Saccharomyces cerevisiae S288C: one gene and its partner. The protein of the gene in region 2 purifies or fractionates together with the protein of the main gene of each other region. This does not show direct contact. Each region holds a gene or a part of one and is shown on either strand. Other genes may lie near its edges.

Region 1 (5,660 bases), on a different chromosome or scaffold from region 2:
CGACGAGAATTTCCCGAGGTTGATTTTGTAGGTGAATGACTGCTTTGCAAAGTACGTACGTAGCTAAAATCAATACTCTGGTTTTTATTGTGACCATGGCCAAACGAGTAGTTTATCGGATCTGTTGTACTACCCTCATATGGCGACATTGTATCAGAGATATTTGATAATGACAATTTCTTTCCAAATCTCATTCTCAACGACTTGGTTGGAGATGAATGCGGTGAGGTGTTGGACATCATATTAGAAGAAGAACCCTGTAATAGCTGATTTATTTGAGAATTGTTTCTTGAATGACCCGTAAAAAAGTTGCTTAGGGTGCTGTGTGAATGTTGGTGCTTGACACTTCCTGATCCACTGATCATGGAAATTATCGATTTGGTTGGTGAATGCCTTGTACTAAATCTACTCATATCCTTTGGGCCATTGTCAATAGTAGTTGAGGATAGGTTGTTTTGGTTCAAACTGCTTTCAATCAGCTGACTTGCATCCTCTTCTTGAATGCTGGGATCATGTAAATACTCATCTAGTTCGCTAATAGTATCTGAAGTTTTAAACTCCTGTTGGTTAAATTGGTCTGATGTAGCAATTTGTAATCCTGCACTTTTAAAGGGAAAGCTGAAGTTGTTTTGGGCATGCAGTTCAACTTCCAATTCGGTGGATGTACTTGGATCCATATCACTTTCAGAGGTGAATCTGAAAGGGGGTAGTAATTTGCTTTTATCCCGGTTTGTGGTTACTTTTTGAAGTATTTTCTCCTGATCCTTTTCCCACATCTCTAAAGTGACACGGGCTGGCAAATCCACGTGTTTGGTATATTGTTGTTCGAAATCGTCTTCTATATCAGATGATATCCTTGGGACTTGTGGAATGTCTTGTAGTTCATTAGTCATTAAGATATCACCTACATAGAAATCATCGTCAACTTCCACCTGGGGTATCAATGGTGTTGCTTGGTATGAGTCCTCATTTTGAGTGCTTTGCTGTGGGGATATCATTTTATCTGTTACTCTCAAACATGCAGGAAGTAAGGCACTATTAATTCTCCCAATAGCTTCTCTTTCTAACTCCAAGTTTGGAGAATCAATAGTATGCGAATCATGGGGAGTTTTGTATTTCAAAGTATTATTTCCTTCGTTAATTATTATTGAAACTCTTCCTTCACTTGGTGTTCTCGCAGTGGAAGTCGAATTCCCGTTTTTTTCGTTTAATGCTAAGAAATTCAGGAAACTTTTCGAGATGTCAGATATGGTTGATAGTCTGGATACATACTGGCTACTTCGGTGGTTGCTTTTCTTTTCTGTCGGAACCTTAGTAGCTTGTTGTGTATTTCTTTTGTATCGATTTTCTTTAGGACCCAAAAAGAAACTGTTATATTTTTTCAATTTAGAAAAATGCGAATGAGATGGCTTTTTAGGACACTTGCTGGTGCTAATCGGTCCTAATTTGTGTCGAATAACTGAAGAGTTTGAATTTTCATCGGATGATATGGTTTTGTTTGCGTTTGTGTTTGAATTTGTGGAGAGTTCATTAATCAGCCACGCTACCCCATTCATACTCTTGGGACTACCGTGTAATAATTCCAAATCTGGTGTTAAGGTCTGTGAAGAGTTCTTAAGGGGTACAAATCTACCATTTTCCACCGCATTTGCTTCTTTGTCATATTGATCCGTACTAATATTGTTAGATGAGCTGCCGAAATTGTTCGCATTGCCATCCTTCAGGAAGAATCCTAATTGTATGCCATTAATGAAAAGTGTGAAAATTAACAAAGAATCCAGAGTTGTTATATAGACTCTGTGAGACTCGCTTTGTACCGATATTGGGCTCCTCAAGGTATTATGAAAATAGTCCACTGTGCAGCCCATGGTGATCAGTGGCAATGCAAAATTAAGAACGTTGTAAAAGTATCCAATATGAAACTTGCTAGGCGCAAAAACAGTCTCTGTGATAAACGATATCAGTGACGGTATTCCATATAACAATGTCGAGCATACAATAACTATCAGTACCGCTTCGTGGTCGTGGAACTTGCATAGCAATGCGATAGCAATGGCACCTGTGGCAATTGAGAGAAGAGCACTTCCGAACTTGATCCCCAAAAAACCAGCCTTATTTCCGCTCCTAACAGAATTATGGCACATAAGAGAGTATGATTCCTTTCTTAGTATATATATACTGCTCAAGGGCAAATGCAATTACTTTGGAAATGCTTTCTTGTTCTGATACGTAAGAAGACAAGTAATCTCTGGACTAAAAGTGGAGCCGGAATAGAGACTCTCTTAGTATCAGTATCCACCTCTTCAAAGGATAATGCGTTCTTTGCCAATAGTCACATATTGTGGGTATGTGCGTTTTGCAAAGGCAGCAATATATTGTTTACTTATTTCCCAAAAAGGAAAAATCTTTAAACCATCCTAGAACTTCAATTCACCACGTTCAGGGTAATATATTTTAACCGCCGACGTTCTCGCCATAACTTTTAAACAGTGATAACTAGTATTGAAACTTAGAAGAGAAAAGGGTAAAGTTAATGCTTAATCTTGTCTTGGCTTAAAAAGTAATATGTACTTATTTACGTCTTCACAAAATCTAGCAGAAAAACGGTAGTATTTATGTATATTCAAAAAAAAATCATTATCCTCATCAAGATTGCTTTATTTAAGCCTTGGCAACATATTCGATCAAGTCAACAACTCTGGCGGAGTAACCGTATTCGTTATCGTACCAGGAAATCAACTTGACGAACTTTGGAGACAATTGGATACCAGCGGAGGCATCGAAGATGGAAGCGTGAGTGTCACCCAAGAAATCAGAGGAGACAACGGCATCTTCGGTGTAACCCAAAACACCCTTCATTGGACCTTCAGCGGCAGCCTTAACAGCCTTCTTGATTTGGTCGTAAGTAGCTTCCTTTTCCAACTTGACAGTCAAGTCAACAACGGAAACATCGACGGTTGGGACTCTGAAAGCCATACCGGTCAACTTACCTTGCAATTCTGGCAAGACCTTACCGACAGCCTTAGCAGCACCGGTAGAGGATGGGATAATGTTACCGGAAGCGGTTCTACCACCTCTCCAGTCCTTGTGGGATGGACCATCAACAGTCTTTTGAGTGGCGGTCATGGAGTGAACAGTGGTCATCAAACCTTCTTCAATACCGAAAGCATCGTTGATAACCTTGGCCAATGGAGCCAAACAGTTGGTGGTACAAGAAGCGTTGGAGACAATCTTCTTGTCTGGAGTGTATTTAGTGTGGTTAACACCAACAACAAACATTGGAGCAGAAGAAGATGGAGCAGTGATGACAACCTTCTTGGCACCAGCGTCAATGTGCTTTTGAGCGGTGTCCAATTCCTTGAAAACACCAGTGGAGTCAACAGCGACATCGATCTTTAGAGAACCCCATGGCAAGTTAGCTGGGTCTCTTTCTTGGTAGGTAGCGATCTTGACACCATCAATGATGATGTGCTTGTCGTCATGGGAAACAGTACCCTTGTATCTACCATGAGTAGAATCGTACTTGACCATGTAAGCAGCATAATCGTTAGAGATAAATGGATCGTTGACAGCAACAACCTCAATGTCTTTTCTTTGCAAAGCCAATCTCAAGACCAATCTACCGATTCTACCGAAACCGTTAATAGCAATTCTGATCATTTTGTTTTGTGTGTAAATTTAGTGAAGTACTGTTTTTTGTGTGTGTTGGTGAAATATCAAACCAAGTTCTTGATGAATTTCTTATTTATGCAAGAGAGAGAATAGAACTGTACTACAAATCTCATTGTGTGAAAATATATTGTCTATTTATATGATTTCGAGACTCCAGTTTTGGTCATTATCACCAAGCTCTTACTGCTACAGAGAATGAACATGCTCCTCCCCCCCTTCTTCAGACTATGTTGTTCTGCACGTGGATACCGTCGCATGCACCTAAGAAGCAGATGGTGGCTTGCCTTACTGTATTGTAAAGATCCAGTCTCCAGATCTGCGACCACTCCGAAGGTTGAAACCCGAGCTTCCTGTTTGCTGTCTCGCGCCTTTTAAAAAAAAAGCGCGATTATGGGCCGCTCGTGACAGTAAAGGAAGCAAGCAGATCGACCCCCTGAAAATGTGGTGTGGTTACTAAGCAGAAGCGTCTTCGTCGCATATCCTATTCCTAGCGCAACAAGGCCCCACGGTGTGGTTTCATGTGACGTGGAGTCATGTAGGCTTGTGGTGCGCACATTTTTACTAAGCTCAACAACCCTACTGGCGCTGCTGGAAGTGAATGGCGAGTAGATACTATCAAGTGTTGGCTGGTGGGACATATCAGCAACTAATGGATAGAATAAATTGGATCAGAAGCTCAGCCCAACTTATCCTCCATATGGTGATATAGAGTGTAAATGAGCATATACATTCGTTTCTTTTTCTCCTCCCATTAGTCTGGCCCTTTAGCATACAAGTCAACTGTAGTTTTCAGAAGCGGGCTTTTCTTGGTTTTTGTTATGTTACCTGTGAGAAACTAATCCATCGAGAAATTTACTCATTTTTTTTTTTACTCCAAGCTGCTTTTACTTAGCTAAACATAAAAAAAGATATTTCTTATGCATTAACTTGAAGAAAAATTGTTCCCTTGGACAACGCTGTGCTTTTCCGAAGCACTGTAAAAGGGAAGAAAACCATATGCTATTCCTCCTTTCGTAGAGAAAAAAAGTTTTAGCACTTGAGCTTCTTACTATATCGTATTTTACCTCTTGCTTGTTTAGTTCGTTATAACTTACGCAAAAGTCTTCTACTGAAATCTAGATATTGTTATGTATAACACTATAATGCCAAACGAAAAGTTAAATATCGAGATGTTGAAAGAACAGAGAACCACATCTTCACCTTATTTAAGGTCGAGCTTTTCTACCGGGTCCTGTACAATGTTATTTCTGATTGTTTAAAATATCTTCTGCCATCTTCATCGATAATAACCAAGCTCAAATAATTCTTGACGTTAAAGTAGTTGCAGCTCATATTGGGCGTCAGGTCATAGCCGCTCAAGAATAATCTTATGGGTATGGTTTCACCTTTCACTGAAGACCCATCCATTATTTCGTATCGGATAGCAGTGGAATCTGTCATTACATTAGAAGTTTGTAGGCCGGAAGATTCTCTTGTGATCAAGCTTAATTCCATATGTTTTATCCTTAGTCTCGTTAAAAGGAAATATATACGCCCCACAATGACTTCTTTTAAGCTGTACTGGGATTTGGCATATTCAAACTCAATGTGAAGGCAATTTTCTATACCTATATCCAATCTAACAGGCTTGGGCTCATTATTTGAATGTGATATCGGCAAAACTTGATTAACGTCTGCCGCCTCACCCTGGGTGCTCTTTGTTTGCGTGTTGTCACTCGCATTATCTGCAGCATAGTTACCACCAGCGATGTCATTAGTGGTTGCCTTTGTCTCATTTGCGGAAAGGGTATTTGGCGCAGTAGTTACACTATTATAAAGATAGACCCAAAATCTTTTTATTTTCGAGATGTCTGTGGACTTCCTCATAACTGTTACCTTAACATAGTAAGCTACATCCACATTTTTGCCTTTATAAGATTCGTATCTTTTACTCAAATCTCTGAATAGGAATGGGAAACTTTGAGAATGTTGTAATTCACCAGCAGGAC
Region 2 (17,514 bases):
GAAGATCTTCTTGAGTCCCAACCAACAAAAGTTTAAACACACAAAAATCGTAGCGTGCATCGTCAAGTTATGTTTGTAAGTACTGGGATAGTTAATTACTACATAGGAATATTCAAGATGTCTTTCTGATATCAGAATCGTTGTTTGTTTATTACGTCATTCCTCTTCATTTCAGTAATTCTTCTGAATAAAAGCGGAACCAAGACAATATACGATGTGCTTTTGACAGATTTGTACTTTTCATATTCGAGTAAATTTCCCTATGTTTGATGGAGTATCATAGTTTTGTTTTTCTTTTTGTTTCCTAGTCAGCCCTTTTCTTCCAGGTACATTATCTATTGAAAATGGACCCCATTATTGCTATGAATTCTGTATTACCTTTCTTGGATTGTAATTTTTTTTTCTTAAGTTATACTTGGGAACAAGACCAAACATGTTATCTTGCATAAACCTTATAAGCAAATTGGTGATATTGAACTGAGATTCCGATGACCGTGAATACCATCTAACAAGAAAATCATTTGGAATTTTGAGAAAATACAATATCCATAATAAGTACGAGAGATTAATTTTTGTTTTCAGATCAACATTCAAACACGGTTGTTAGGTGGTTGTTTTCTGATGTACTCACATGAGAATCACGTGAATTTTCAGATAGTTGTTGGGATTCCATTATTGATAAAGGCAGTAATATTATGTATACAGAATATACTAGAAGTTCTCCTCGAGGATATAGGAATCCTCAAAATGGAATCTATATTTCTACATACTAATATTACGATTATTCCTCATTCCGTTTTATATGTTTCATTATCCTATTACATTATCAATCCTTGCACTTCAGCTTCCTCTAACTTCGATGACAGCTTCTCATAACTTATGTCATCATCTTAACACCGTATATGATAATATATTGATAATATAACTATAGTTGATAGACGATAGTGGATTTTTATTCCAACAATTCTATATACGTAAAATTATAGCCTTTACCAACAATGGAATCCAACAATTACCAGCTATTCATCAAGTGATCAGAAAATAATATTGAGGTTTTAGTTCACATTTTAGTAACAGTATTTATATTTTTAAGTCACTTATTAAACGTAATTTTTCATAATTAAAGAGCCTTGTTGGCGCAATCGGTAGCGCGTATGACTCTTAATCATAAGGTTAGGGGTTCGAGCCCCCTACAGGGCTTTCTTTTTTCTTGGAAAAAGAAAGAAACTACATTACATGTGCCGCAAGCGCAAGTAACAATGTTTATAGCTTATCTAACGGGGAATGTATTTTAAATTCAAACAACTTGAGTTATTGAAATTATGAGTGAACCTTTCCGTCATACTCATTGCATTGCGCTCAAAATCTGCGAACGTATCGCACCAGCTATCTGAGTATAAAATAATAATACGCTTCATAATATATACTTTTTGGAACAAGTGGCCATTAATAGTGATATAGGATTGCTGTGTAAATGCTAATATCACATATAGATGTACATCTCGTATTACATGTGAATGTGCCTAATGTGGAAGGAAATTTCATACATGCAGTTCAGGTAGTAATGAAACCGATTTAAGATCTATTAATTGAACATTGATATGGTAGTTATACAAGAGTTATATTAATTATCACATTAACTGTATAGTAAGCTCCAAACACACATAATATTGATAATAAATAAGATGAAACAGTTGGCGATGTTTTATATCCCTCGCTTATAGAAGCATGAGAAGATTCATACTTAACCTTCATATTAATAGTACCTCTTCATCTCTAACTATGAATATTATTAAAGTAACTGGGAATGTGAAATTCTGTGATCACAATTTTCCTCTAAAAATGTTTTAATTTCAAAACCACACAAAAAATCCACCTAAATGGTGGGCTTGGTTATTGTCATTATATGGTATCTAGAAGACCTTGTCGTTATGGAGATATTGACGAAAATGGGGATACTGTTGGGATTCTATTTTTGATAACGGAAAAGTGTTGAATATACAGAGAACCCAGGAAGTTTTCCTCCAGGTTATAATATCCTTAAAAGATAACCGGTATTTCCACTTTATGTTATTATTATTTCTTCTCCTCATTTTGTACTTTATCATTAATCATCCTAAAACGTTTTCAATCATTGCGCTTCAGCTTTTATTAAATATAATAAATATTTCACAACTCTATGACATCTTTTTATATTGTATATGATAATGTACAAGTAATATTCATACTACCCAACAAAAAGATAATTGATTTTCTTTCCAATAACTATGTATCCTCTTTGTATAAAATGTTTCTGTAATAAAGAAATTTGCGGTGTAGAACCGACTTTTCTAAATGCATATCTTTATTTTCTCAGAACCTTAATTAGTAAAACTCTAGTGAACAACAAATACTCAAATACTTAAAAGATGATTAAAAATGTGGGCAAAAAAGCTACCGGTAATTGACGACGTCAGTTCCATTATTATTAATGGACAGTTCAAAAAATTTAATAGCGCCGCTCGGTTTCGATCCGAGGACATCAGGGTTATGAGCCCTGCGCGCTTCCACTGCGCCACGGCGCTCAACATTACAATCTCTGATGCTTTCACGTAGATATATGAATAGTTTTATTCTACTATTTTATCCTACTATGATATATATCTAGGGCTTGATGTCTTCACAACAATAAAATTGAATATTGGGTGATATTTTGATAATTTTTGGCATTCCATTGTTGATAAAGGCAGTAATATTATGTATACAGAATATACTAGAAGTTCTTCTCAAGGATATAGGAATTCTCAAAATGGAATCGGTATTTCTACATAATAATATTTTATTATTCTTTTTCATTTTATACGTTTCATTATCCTATTACATTATCAATATTTGCATTTCAGCTTCCATAACAGTTGATGACTGTTTCTCAATCTTTACGTCATCTTTTTACACCGCATGTGATAATATACTAGTAACACGAATACTACTAAAAGATGACATTTTAGAGCTTCAATCCAACAACTTCTCAGTGATGTGGCTTTCGACATTTCATATTTTTTTGTTCGAGTCCTTTTCAATAAGTGATAGTTGATGCTTATTCCAAATATTCAATATAAGCATTTATATCCTTACTACCATATCAACATGTAAATATTGATAGCCACTTATTCCAACAGAATCGGATAAGCGCTATTTTTTTTTATTAAAGCCTTCCCCTCTCTCATCGCCAAGAATTCTATTGTTTCTCCTAGACCCTGCTTTCGCGGCGCGGTATTCCTGTGCCAGCGGTAAGGGTTCAGTCATTGTATTATGTAGAAGTATCGAATGTGACACAAACATACGCCACTAATATGAGAATGCAGGCGCGATAGCTTTGTAATGTTTTTCAGTTGTATCACAGTAAACTAGAGCGGATCCCTAAATAAGTATCATCAAGCTCGATACACAAAACTTTGAAATGAACTTCTTCGACTTTTAGACGCTTGTTCAAACTTTTATCAATGATGTTGTCAATTAAATAGACTTATATTGCTGTTTCATTGTTATCGCTTTGTTAAGAGGTTGCTAGGTAAATAACCAGACATTTACTATTGCTAGTATGCGATATAATAATTATGACAACTCTGGAAGTTCCTTCTTAACTAGAGTAGTTAAAAAGTCAGATATGGAGAAAACGTTATTATTAAATAGAGAAATTGATGACTGGAAGTCAAACGATAAAAAGAAGGCATATAAGGAACGCGGAAGAGTTTATGCAAGTTGCTCATTTATTGAAGTATCCTTTTCTCAAATAAGGGCTGTTGATGTTGAAAAAAAAATTGAGAATGCCGAACAACTAAGAGATCTTACAAGAAATATTGTTAAGAACAAAACCAGCTCTTTGAACGAAATTACACCCTCAAAGAATCGTGTAACTAGTGCATGCAATTCCGAGAGACGTACGACTAGCCAAGAAGCAAACAATCTTGAAGGCTACCATAGTTGTGCACAAGGAACTAGTCGGTCTGCCAGTATTACGAAGAAATACAGCAAAAAGACTACTAGTCGTCCTAAAAGAGAAAAGAGACAAACAATCCTCCCAAATGGTGAGATAAAGGAATGCTCTAAATGTAAAGACACTTGGACAATTCAATGGCGTAGTGGACCCGACCAAAACAGGGAACTTTGTAGTCCCTGTGGACTCGCCTATGGAAAAAGACTGAAGAAGGAGAATGAAAAAAAAAGGCAAGCAGCAGATAAAAGGATAGATCGAAACAATCCATAGTATCTATTTAATTCTTTCACCGCATAGATGATATTTTTCCACTAGGATATTCCACCTTTTTTTTTTCTAATATTGGCACTTCAGTTATAATGTATTTTCTTCGTCTTTGTTCTTATATTGTACTATTATTCATAATATTTATTACGTTTTATATGGAGTTTCTTTTTGATTAATGGCTTCCTGCTAGTATTACTATATGACTATAGCAACAAACTTTGCAGTTAGTTTTGTTGAGATTGTATGCTCAATAAGTTTAAGTGAACTTCTACAAGTTGTACCTCATTTCTCGGTTTTGAAATTAAGTATTCTTGGTTCAGGTTTGCAGTTCTTTTTAATGTTGTTTTTTACAATCAAAGTATGCTCATCGGTATATACAGAAGTGCCAGTTTGGGATTTTTGAGTCCCTGAATATGCGCTTCATGCTTTTTTATTATGTAAAGTTAGTTCGGGTAAGAAGTAGTAACCAAAAAAATCGCAACAATAGATTCTCATTCGCTTTTTGACTTGGTAACTTATAATTTCTCCACAGTATTTGCACCCTTTTAATGTCCGATTTCTCGAGGAATAAGTAACCAGGAATACAGAAGGTATCCACCGCCAGTTATGCTGATCATCAATGGGAAGATCATCCCTATAGCTCATACTATTTGTGCATTCTCCGCCTTCTTTGCAGCTTTGGTCACTGGTTATTCATTACATTTTCATAAAATTGTAACCAATGCACATTATACGTATCCAGATGAGTGGTTTCCTAGTGTATCAGCCACTATCGGGGACCGCTATCCGGAACGTTCTATTTTCCAAATCTTAATAGCTCTAACTGCTTTTCCAAGATTTTTACTGCTACTAGGTCACTACTACTTGAACCAATCTAAGGTATGCTTCCTTGTCGGTGTACTCCGGACAGTCTCTTGCGGTGGTTGGGTATACATTACAAGTACAGATGACCACGATATTCATGATATATTTATGATCACATACATTGTTTTAACGTTACCATGGGATATAATGATTACCCGCTATTCTAGTCCTTTAACTTCGAAGAACAAAGGGTTGACTGCTACAATTTTTTTTGGAACATTGTTCCCGATGATTTACTGGTACATTCAGCACTCCGTCCAACAGAGAGCTGGGGCATATTCTATATATGCTTATTTCGAATGGTCTCTGATTCTTTTAGATATTGCATTTGATGCATTTGCTTACGCTGATTTCAAAAAGATAGATATTGTTCTCGCTTTTAATGAGAAACCCGGTAATACCAGTTTTTTCCAAATTAGAGACTCTAGTCCCATAAATTATGGAGAAGAAAAAAGTTCAGAATTGCAGAAAAGTGGTGAAAAGAAGGTTGAAAAGGAAAAACCCGTTGCTAGAAGCGCAACTGGTTCATATTTCAGGTTTGACTCTTTTTTTTACTTACTAACAAATATTTTTAACGGTTTTCTTTTCTGGTCGAACGTTACGTCCCTGTTATGTAGTATTTGGCATTTCCCGCTATGGTATATGGGAATCTCAGGTTATGAAGCTGCAATATTGGGTTATTTGGGACCCATTTTCTTATATCTGCCGTTCGTTTCTGAAGCCTTCACGCAATATGGTGTACTTTTAGGAGGTATTATTGCCATTGGTGCCTATATTGTTCAGATGCCAGAATTAAGGTTGATTTCTGTAGCTGTGGGAACTTCCATTACCGTTGCAACGTTTGTACAAAATCTAAGATATATCACAAATGCGGAGACTAGTTTCTCTTTTGCTCTAACTTGGCTGTTAGGTCTTGTTGCATCTGTGATCTTGAAAATGGGGTTCTATACCAACAATCCAACTTGGGTCATTTTAGATGAACGTAATGGTGGGTATAATAAGACAGCTCTCGTGCTTACTGTTTTATTCGGCATGCTGTCGCCTTATGTTAATTCAATTAATTTCGAAGGGAAAAGGAATGCTCAAGCAAAATCTGCTTCGTTGATTGGCAAATTATTTTTGGCTGTTGGTTTTGGCTCGTTGTTATTCGGAATTCATCAGTTATTGACGGATTCTTCTACTACTATTTATTGGGCATGGGAAGGTTACAATGAATCACACGGTCCCTTGCCATGGCCTTGGGGCGCCTTAACTTGTACGGTCATGTTATTTGCTTCTTTGAGTTCTGTGAAGTTTATGGGCAAGCCATTAGTTCCATGTTTGTTGCTTCTCATATCCACTGCTGTACTTTCAGCTAGAAGCATTACACAATGGCCTAAATATATTTTCGGTGGTTTATTGTACGCTATCGCTATGCTTTGGTTAGTTCCTTCGTATTTTTCTGCATTAGGCCAAGTTCAAAACATATGGGTTTATGTCCTATCATTCTCCGTTTATATTATCTTTGTCCTTGCCCATGTTTGGGTCGTTGCATACGCATTTGTTCCAATGGGCTGGGTACTGAGGGAGAAGATTGAGACGGTTCTTGCCTTTTCTTCCACATTTATCATTATTGGTGCTTTAACATGCAAAAACCTTAACATTCAACTGGTGACTATGGGCAAAAAATTCTTCATTTATGTTTTCTTCTTTGCCGTGGCCCTGCTATCACTAACAGCTAGGTTCGTGTATGATATTAGACCTACAGGAATTCCTCAGCCTTATCATCCAGATTCTCAGTTGATTACAGCTGGTATTTGGACTATCCACTTTGGTCTCGATAATGATATGTGGGCATCTGAAGACAGAATGATCAACCTTATTAAAGATATGGAACTAGATGTGGTAGGTCTACTAGAAACAGATACACAAAGAATTACCATGGGGAACAGGGATCTAACTAGCAAACTAGCTCATGATTTGAATATGTATGCAGATTTCGGACCAGGTCCAAATAAACATACCTGGGGCTGTGTTCTTCTTTCTAAATTCCCTATCGTAAATTCTACGCATCATTTATTGCCCTCTCCAGTTGGGGAACTTGCGCCAGCCATTCATGCCACACTTCAAACGTACAATGACACTCTCGTTGACGTCTTTGTATTCCATAGTGGACAAGAAGAGGATGAAGAGGATAGAAGACTGCAAAGTAACTACATGGCTAAGCTCATGGGCAATACGACTCGCCCAGCTATTTTATTAAGTTACTTAGTTGTTGATCCAGGTGAAGGCAACTACAATACGTACGTTAGTGAAACATCCGGAATGCACGACATTGATCCTTCTGACGATGATAGATGGTGTGAGTATATCTTGTATAGGGGCTTGAGAAGAACAGGATATGCTAGAGTTGCAAGAGGAACGATAACCGATACGGAGCTACAAGTTGGTAAGTTCCAAGTTTTGAGTGAGCAAGCGTTAGTAGAGCACTCGGATTCTATGTATGAATACGGTCATATGAGTGAACCGGAATATGAGGACATGAAATTTCCAGATAAGTTTTTAGGCGAAGGTGAGAGGGGTCACTTCTACCATGTTTTTGATGAGCCACGTTATTACTTATAAGAGGCCGTAAGGTGGTTTTATAAATCAGTGTAATCACATTGTGTGTACTGAAAATCTTGATAACTTAAGGTAAGTTATGTATCCACCTGATTTTTTTGACCTCGAATTTTAAAAATTTATGTGATTTCTTTATGTATGTTACTTAGACGATCTTGTTATAGTTTTGTAAGAAATTATACTTCCTGAAACGATTTATCCCGCTACTTTTTGAGCGTATTTCACAGTAAAATATATACTACAACTGAACAACGTTGTTGAACTCTATGTTAAACATCAACGAAGAAATTCTTAAGTTCTATCTGCTCCGAGTCATCATTCTTCCAAATTTCTAGTAATTTCAGACTTCTTTGAACAAGCTCTTTATTCGGCATTTGTACTTCCTCTTGCTCGTCTTGTACCTCTTTTTGCTTCCCTTGTTCGGCATTACCGTCTTTTTCACCTTCTTCTTTTTCTTCACCATTAATTGGTTCGCTAGCCTTATCCTCTGCAATTAACGCTTTTATTTTTGTTTCTTGATCTTCCACATAGTCGTTCCATTGCTTCAGTTTTCCTTTGCATTTTGATATTAGTTCTTCTTTTGATTTACCTTGTAAGTCCCTGAAATATAAAAGCAAAAGATCATTATATACTGAGGGGATTTCGTCCAAGTTGAAAAAATGCTTAATAAGCCAATTTTGCTTTTGCTTGGAAAATTTCCAAACTTCAACAACACCAGACTCTGATGGCTCGTCTTTGATCAGGGAGTCGCCGTAATTTTCTTTTACACTTTCCAATTCTAGGATTCCGGTGGGAAACTTGCTCTCAGACTTTGTCCTGAAAAATTCTATCAGGTAACGTAATTGATCTTTAAGAATTTTATTTTTTTTCGAATTCTTTTCATCCTTTGACAATTTTTCCTTCTTCTTCGTCCCTGGTTTCGACACACGCTTCCCTTTTTTGGTAGAGGATTTGCTCTCACCATTAATGATTCTTTTTTTCTCTTTCTTTGTCAAATTACCAGTGGATAAATGCGTAGTGATATTTAGTGGATCATCATCTATTAGATTGGATTGGCCTTTTTCTTTACTTTCGTCACCACTGCTTATAGTCTGTCTCTTCAAAGCAATTCTTTTCCAGGCAGGAACGTGATTTTCGGACATTTAATTGTGAAGTGAATGTTTCTTCTGCTTGTAATTTGTCGATAAAGAAAGCACTTATGACAGTACTTTGATATTTGAATTTAGCTCATCTCTTTTCGTTCCTTTTTCTCGCTCGAAAATTTTCAATAATTTGCAGTAAAAAGGCGATGCCAGTAAAAAACTACCTGCAAAGGGAGCGTTAGACATATCTTTTATTGGCGACAAATATTTTTAGCGATATATATCCGTAAAGATCTGGCGATATTCTTTATCACTCGATGATAATAAATTCTTTTACACTTTGCTATTTTCCATGAGAACGGTTGGTATTCCTGTTCCCAATAACAAAAGCGTTTGCATATTTTTATGGTGAAGGTACTATCAACTGTAAAGTATGTACAATAGATTTATTAAAGGGAAACACTTTTCGTAGTAAGAAAAGCAGGTTTATAATTCAATTGTTTTAAAGCTGAATAATGCCGTGGTGTTAAACTACGACCGAGCTATAGCAACAGCATCGGCCACACACTCTCTCTTATTCTTATGTTAATAGTCGACCTTTCAAGGATGTTCTTGTTGGAATAGAAATCCACTATCGTCTATCAACTAATAGTTATATTATCAATATATTATCATATACGGTGTTAAGATGATGACATAAGTTATGAGAAGCTGTCATCGAAGTTAGAGGAAGCTGAAGTGCAAGGATTGATAATGTAATAGGATAATGAAACATATAAAATAGAAGAAGGGATAATCGTAATATTAGTATGTAGAAATATGGATTCCATTTTGAGGATTCCTCTATCCTTGAAGAGAACTCCTAGTATATTCCGTATACATAATATTGTTGCTTTTCTCGAATCATGTATCAAGATTACTAGCGCAAGTGGTTTAGTGGTAAAATCCAACGTTGCCATCGTTGGGCCCCCGGTTCGATTCCGGGCTTGCGCATCTTTTTTACTTTATATACTATTTTTTTTTTTTTTCTTTTTCCCAAATTTTTTCATGAAAAATTTGGCGGAACGGTACATAAGAATAGAAGAGATTCGTTATGAAAATTTTCTACTCTCTTTCACATTTTTTTTTTCATAAGAATTAAAAAAATAAGCTTAATGCCCTCTTTGTACGATGGTGTCACTCTAAAATTATTTACGTAATTTAATTGGATGTGATATCAAGCACTAGTTTTGTTTGGAGGAGCAGAGATTGAAAGCCTAGCTTTTACACCGGTTTGAGTCGGTTCCTTCGTTTTCTTAGTTGGAATTGATATAGAAGTGTGTGGACAATCGATTTGCAAAACTTTTTATTTTATGTATTACTACTGAGCTTGTTTATCTGTATACTTTTTTCTTATTATTATGTAGTTAGAGGTTAGTTCTTATCGTTTTCTTTAAAAGCGACCTTTCTTCGCACAAAGCAATGTTGACAATCGAGCCAATGCATTTAACAATTGCAGTAACCAGAAGCGAACAGTGGAGGATATGAAAACCATTATTATTTCAGATTTTGATGAAACAATCACAAGAGTTGACACAATCTGCACCATTGCTAAATTACCGTATCTACTGAACCCGCGGTTGAAACCTGAGTGGGGTCATTTTACCAAGACATATATGGACGGATACCATAAATACAAATACAATGGAACGAGATCACTGCCGTTGTTATCTTCAGGCGTACCTACGATAATTTCGCAGTCTAACTTCAATAAGTTGTTTGCGGACGAATTAAAATATCAAAATCATAACAGGGTTGTTGAGTTAAATAGTGTAAATGAAATTACAAAACAACAGATTTTTAAGTCGATTTCTTTGGATCAAATGAAAACGTTCGCCAGAGATCAGAATCACGAAGATTGTTTACTAAGAGATGGTTTCAAAACGTTTTGCTCTTCAGTTGTCAAAAATTTTGAAAGTGATTTTTACGTTTTATCTATAAATTGGTCAAAAGAGTTTATTCATGAAGTCATTGGTGACAGAAGACTTAAAAATAGTCATATTTTTTGTAACGATCTAAAAAAAGTTAGTGACAAGTGTTCTCAAAGCTACAATGGTGAATTTGATTGTCGGTTATTGACAGGCTCTGATAAGGTCAAGATACTGGGTGAAATATTAGATAAGATCGACTCAGGTTGCAATAAAGAAGGAAATTCTTGCAGCTATTGGTATATAGGGGATAGTGAGACTGACTTGTTGTCCATATTACATCCATCTACTAATGGTGTACTGCTAATAAACCCGCAAGAAAATCCTTCCAAATTCATAAAAATTACCGAAAAGATTATTGGTATCCCAAAGGATAAAATCTCGAGTTTTGAAGCTGATAATGGTCCAGCGTGGTTACAGTTTTGTGAAAAGGAAGGCGGTAAAGGTGCCTACCTTGTGAAATCCTGGGACTCTTTAAAAGATTTGATCATGCAGGTAACAAAAATGTAGAAACGGATGAAATCCTGTATATTCAAATTTATATAACCAGGACGTTGCAGTGCTAATAATAATGGAATACCGCTAATTTTCCTCCTGTTTTTTCTTTTTTAAGTAAAGATAAAATAGTATTTCACTTGCACTATTCTTCTATCTCCGTAATCGGTCTCGGTCTAAAATTACTTTGAGATGTTCAAATACATGGGGCTAATAATTTTAAGGGCTTGCAAAGAACTTATATGTCACAGTGATAATAAGTAAAGGATAAACATGCGACCTGTTAGACAAATCGCACATGTCTCTAAAGGGTAAATTTTTCGCCTTTTTACCTAATCCTAACACATCTTCCAATAAGTTCTTTAAGAGTATATTGGAGAAAAAGGGCGCCACAATTGTGTCAAGTATTCAAAATTGTCTTCAATCTAGCCGTAAGGAAGTGGTCATTTTGATTGAGGACTCCTTTGTTGATTCTGATATGCATTTGACTCAGAAAGATATTTTCCAAAGGGAAGCAGGCTTAAATGATGTCGATGAATTTCTTGGTAAGATTGAACAGTCAGGCATTCAATGTGTGAAAACCAGTTGCATCACAAAGTGGGTCCAGAATGATAAATTTGCGTTTCAAAAAGATGATTTGATTAAATTTCAACCATCCATTATCGTTATATCAGATAACGCTGATGACGGACAAAGTTCTACTGATAAAGAGAGTGAGATTTCAACTGACGTAGAAAGTGAAAGGAATGATGACAGCAACAATAAAGATATGATACAAGCTTCAAAACCTCTTAAGCGACTCTTACAGGGGGATAAAGGAAGAGCTTCCCTTGTTACTGACAAAACGAAGTACAAAAACAATGAATTGATTATCGGAGCGTTGAAAAGGTTAACAAAAAAATATGAGATCGAAGGTGAGAAATTTCGTGCAAGAAGTTATAGACTGGCTAAACAGTCGATGGAAAATTGCGATTTCAATGTTCGTTCCGGTGAAGAAGCACATACTAAATTAAGGAATATCGGGCCTAGTATTGCCAAAAAAATACAAGTTATATTAGATACGGGAGTTTTACCAGGTTTAAATGATTCAGTGGGATTAGAAGACAAGTTGAAATACTTCAAAAATTGTTACGGCATTGGGTCGGAAATTGCTAAACGCTGGAATCTTCTAAATTTTGAAAGCTTTTGTGTTGCAGCTAAGAAGGACCCAGAGGAGTTTGTATCAGATTGGACAATTTTATTTGGTTGGTCATATTACGACGATTGGTTATGCAAGATGTCTCGGAATGAATGTTTCACACATTTAAAGAAGGTTCAAAAAGCGCTGCGTGGCATTGATCCTGAATGCCAAGTCGAATTACAGGGAAGTTATAATAGGGGCTATTCCAAGTGTGGTGACATTGATCTTTTATTTTTCAAGCCGTTTTGTAATGACACGACCGAGTTGGCAAAAATCATGGAAACGCTTTGTATTAAGTTGTACAAGGATGGCTATATCCATTGTTTTTTACAGCTAACGCCAAACTTGGAAAAGCTATTCTTAAAAAGAATAGTGGAGAGATTTCGTACAGCGAAGATTGTTGGGTATGGAGAAAGAAAGAGGTGGTATTCTTCTGAGATAATCAAGAAATTTTTCATGGGAGTCAAATTGTCTCCAAGAGAATTAGAAGAACTGAAAGAAATGAAAAATGATGAAGGCACATTGTTAATTGAAGAAGAAGAAGAAGAAGAAACAAAATTAAAACCGATTGACCAATATATGTCTCTGAATGCCAAGGATGGAAATTATTGCAGAAGATTAGACTTTTTTTGTTGCAAGTGGGATGAGCTTGGAGCAGGAAGAATACACTATACTGGATCTAAAGAGTACAATAGATGGATAAGAATATTGGCAGCGCAAAAAGGCTTCAAGCTTACACAACACGGTTTATTTCGAAATAATATCCTTCTCGAAAGCTTTAACGAACGCAGAATTTTCGAGTTATTAAACTTAAAATACGCTGAACCCGAACATAGAAATATCGAATGGGAAAAAAAAACTGCATAAAGGCATTAAAAGAGGAGCGAATTTTTTTTTAATAAAAATCTTAATAATCATTAAAAGATAAATAATAGTCTATATATACGTATATAAATAAAAAATATTCAAAAAATAAAATAAACTATTATTTTAGCGTAAAGGATGGGGAAAGAGAAAAGAAAAAAATTGATCTATCGATTTCAATTCAATTCAATTTATTTCTTTTCGGATAAGAAAGCAACACCTGGCAATTCCTTACCTTCCAATAATTCCAAAGAAGCACCACCACCAGTAGAGACATGGGAGATCTTGTCAGTGACACCGTACTTCTTAGCGACAGTGGCAGTGTCACCACCACCAATGATGACGGTGTTACCAGCAGCAGAGCTCTTGACAACTTCGTCTAACAAAGCCTTAGTACCAGCAGCGAACTTTTCGAATTCGAAAACACCTGGTGGACCGTTCCAGACAATGGTCTTAGCCTTTGCAACAGTAGCAGCAAACAACTTTCTAGATTCTGGACCATTGTCCAACCCTTGCCAGCCAGCTGGAATACCTTCCTTGTCAGTGACAGTCTTGGTGTTGGCATCAGCAGAGAAAGCATCAGCAATGATGAAGTCGACTGGCAAGACGACTTCGACACCCTTGGCCTTGGCCTTTTCCATCAACTTTGGAACGATTTCAGCACCAGCCTTGTCGAAGATGGAGTCACCGATTTCAGTGTTTTCCAAAACCTTCTTGAAGGTGAAAGCCATACCACCACCAATGATGATAGAGTCGACCTTGTCCAACAAGTTGTCAATCAATTGAATCTTGTCAGCAACCTTGGCACCACCTAAGATGGCCAAGAATGGTCTGGTTGGGTTCTCCAAAGCCTTACCGAAGTACTTCAATTCCTTTTCCAACAAGAAACCGGCAGCACGTTGTGGCAAGTCGAAACCGACCATAGAAGAGTGAGCTCTGTGAGCGGTACCGAAGGCATCGTTGATGTAAACATCAGCCAAAGAGCTCAATTCGTGTCTGAACTTTTGAACATCTTCCTTGGAAGCCTTGACCTTTTGACCATCGACCTTTCTGGAACCTTCTTCTTCGATGTGGTAACGCAAGTTTTCCAACAAAATAACGGAACCTGGGGCAGAAGCCTTGACAGCGGCTTCAACTTCTGGACCGACACAGTCGTTCAAGAAGGTGACATCCTTACCCAACAATGATTGCAATTCCTTAGCAACTGGAGCCAAAGAGTATTTTTCGTTTCTTTCACCGTTTGGTCTACCCAAGTGAGAAGCCAAGACAACGTATCTTGGGTGGTGTTCCAAAACGTACTTGATGGTTGGCAAAGCAGCAACAATTCTTTGGTTAGAAGTGATCTTCTTACCGTCCAATGGGACGTTGAAGTCAACTCTGATGAAGACACGCTTGTCCTTCAAGTCCAAATCTTGGACAGACAACTTTGAAGATAAAGACATTGTTTTATATTTGTTGTAAAAAGTAGATAATTACTTCCTTGATGATCTGTAAAAAAGAGAAAAAGAAAGCATCTAAGAACTTGAAAAACTACGAATTAGAAAAGACCAAATATGTATTTCTTGCATTGACCAATTTATGCAAGTTTATATATATGTAAATGTAAGTTTCACGAGGTTCTACTAAACTAAACCACCCCCTTGGTTAGAAGAAAAGAGTGTGTGAGAACAGGCTGTTGTTGTCACACGATTCGGACAATTCTGTTTGAAAGAGAGAGAGTAACAGTACGATCGAACGAACTTTGCTCTGGAGATCACAGTGGGCATCATAGCATGTGGTACTAAACCCTTTCCCGCCATTCCAGAACCTTCGATTGCTTGTTACAAAACCTGTGAGCCGTCGCTAGGACCTTGTTGTGTGACGAAATTGGAAGCTGCAATCAATAGGAAGACAGGAAGTCGAGCGTGTCTGGGTTTTTTCAGTTTTGTTCTTTTTGCAAACAAATCACGAGCGACGGTAATTTCTTTCTCGATAAGAGGCCACGTGCTTTATGAGGGTAACATCAATTCAAGAAGGAGGGAAACACTTCCTTTTTCTGGCCCTGATAATAGTATGAGGGTGAAGCCAAAATAAAGGATTCGCGCCCAAATCGGCATCTTTAAATGCAGGTATGCGATAGTTCCTCACTCTTTCCTTACTCACGAGTAATTCTTGCAAATGCCTATTATGCAGATGTTATAATATCTGTGCGTCTTGAGTTGAAGTCAGGAATCTAAAATAAAAATTAAGGTTAATAAAAAGAGGAAAGAAAAAAAAATTAATCGATTTACAGAAACTTGCACACTAAAAATACACAACTAAAAGCAATTACAGTATGGGAAGTCATCGACGTTATCTCTACTATAGTATATTATCATTTCTATTATTATCCTGCTCAGTGGTACTTGCAAAACAAGATAAGACCCCATTCTTTGAAGGTACTTCTTCGAAAAATTCGCGTCTAACTGCACAAGATAAGGGCAATGATACATGCCCGCCATGTTTTAATTGTATGCTACCTATTTTTGAATGCAAACAGTTTTCTGAATGCAATTCGTACACTGGTAGATGTGAGTGTATAGAAGGGTTTGCAGGTGATGATTGCTCTCTGCCCCTCTGTGGCGGTCTATCACCGGATGAAAGCGGTAATAAGGATCGTCCCATAAGAGCACAAAATGACACCTGTCATTGTGATAACGGATGGGGAGGGATCAATTGTGACGTTTGTCAAGAAGATTTTGTCTGTGATGCGTTCATGCCTGATCCTAGTATTAAGGGGACATGTTATAAGAATGGTATGATTGTAGATAAAGTATTTTCAGGTTGTAATGTGACCAATGAGAAAATTCTACAGATTTTGAACGGCAAAATACCACAAATTACATTTGCCTGTGATAAACCTAATCAAGAATGTAATTTTCAGTTTTGGATAGATCAGTTAGAAAGCTTCTATTGTGGCTTAAGTGATTGTGCCTTTGAATACGACTTGGAACAGAATACCTCCCATTATAAGTGTAATGACGTTCAATGCAAATGCGTTCCCGACACTGTGTTGTGTGGTGCTAAGGGGTCTATAGATATCTCGGATTTCCTGACAGAGACAATAAAAGGGCCAGGAGATTTCAGCTGTGATTTAGAAACAAGGCAATGTAAATTCAGTGAGCCTTCTATGAATGATTTGATATTGACCGTGTTTGGTGACCCTTATATTACTTTGAAGTGTGAATCCGGTGAATGTGTTCATTATAGTGAGATTCCAGGTTACAAATCTCCTTCAAAAGATCCAACAGTGTCATGGCAAGGGAAATTGGTGTTGGCATTGACTGCTGTGATGGTCCTGGCACTTTTTACATTTGCTACCTTTTACATTTCTAAATCTCCGTTATTCAGAAATGGATTGGGTTCCTCAAAGTCTCCCATTCGTTTGCCAGATGAAGATGCGGTGAATAATTTCTTACAAAATGAAGATGACACACTGGCGACATTAAGTTTTGAAAATATCACTTATAGTGTCCCCTCGATAAATTCAGATGGTGTTGAAGAAACTGTGCTGAATGAAATAAGTGGTATCGTGAAGCCCGGCCAAATATTAGCTATCATGGGTGGATCTGGTGCGGGTAAAACTACTTTATTAGATATCCTAGCAATGAAACGGAAAACAGGTCACGTTTCGGGTTCCATAAAAGTTAACGGTATTAGTATGGACCGTAAATCTTTCTCGAAAATAATCGGGTTCGTCGATCAAGATGACTTTTTGCTGCCCACTTTGACTGTTTTTGAAACCGTATTAAATAGTGCGCTGTTAAGATTGCCAAAAGCATTGTCATTCGAGGCCAAGAAGGCAAGAGTTTATAAGGTGTTGGAAGAACTAAGAATTATTGATATCAAAGATCGTATTATTGGTAATGAATTTGATCGTGGTATTAGTGGAGGTGAAAAACGCCGAGTTTCCATTGCATGTGAATTAGTGACATCTCCATTGGTTTTATTTTTGGATGAACCTACATCTGGTTTAGATGCTAGTAATGCCAATAATGTTATTGAATGTTTGGTAAGGTTATCCAGCGACTATAACAGGACATTGGTGCTATCTATTCATCAGCCAAGATCAAATATATTTTATTTATTCGATAAATTGGTCCTGTTAAGTAAAGGTGAGATGGTCTATTCCGGAAATGCCAAAAAAGTGTCAGAATTTTTGAGAAATGAGGGATATATCTGTCCGGACAACTATAATAT

Evidence for each region.
Region 1: the proteins of PGK1 (region 2) and TDH1 purify together in Saccharomyces cerevisiae (affinity purification with mass spectrometry; 2 studies listed by BioGRID, with this or other methods). This does not show direct contact.

The regions. Positions count from the first base shown.
Region 1 is NC_001142.9:336,271-341,930, reverse strand, and holds TDH1 (glyceraldehyde-3-phosphate dehydrogenase (phosphorylating) TDH1), read right to left. Parts: upstream 3,661-5,660; coding exon 2,662-3,660; downstream 1-2,661. Other genes in the region: IRC8 (Irc8p), read right to left, coding at 1-2,144; YJL052C-A (uncharacterized protein), read left to right, coding at 3,928-4,047; retromer subunit PEP8, read right to left, coding at 4,894-5,660. UniProt on the Saccharomyces cerevisiae protein: Glyceraldehyde-3-phosphate dehydrogenase (GAPDH) involved in glycolysis and gluconeogenesis. Catalyzes the reaction of glyceraldehyde-3-phosphate to 1,3 bis-phosphoglycerate.
Region 2 is NC_001135.5:134,970-152,483, reverse strand, and holds PGK1 (phosphoglycerate kinase), read right to left. Parts: upstream 14,739-17,514; coding exon 13,488-14,738; downstream 1-13,487. Other genes in the region: SRD1 (Srd1p), read left to right, coding at 3,581-4,246; CWH43 (Cwh43p), read left to right, coding at 4,850-7,711; RNA-binding ribosome assembly factor RBP95, read right to left, coding at 7,978-8,850; CTO1 (Cto1p), read left to right, coding at 10,314-11,267; POL4 (DNA-directed DNA polymerase IV), read left to right, coding at 11,551-13,299; putative ATP-dependent permease ADP1, read left to right, coding at 15,611-17,514. UniProt on the Saccharomyces cerevisiae protein: Catalyzes one of the two ATP producing reactions in the glycolytic pathway via the reversible conversion of 1,3-diphosphoglycerate to 3-phosphoglycerate.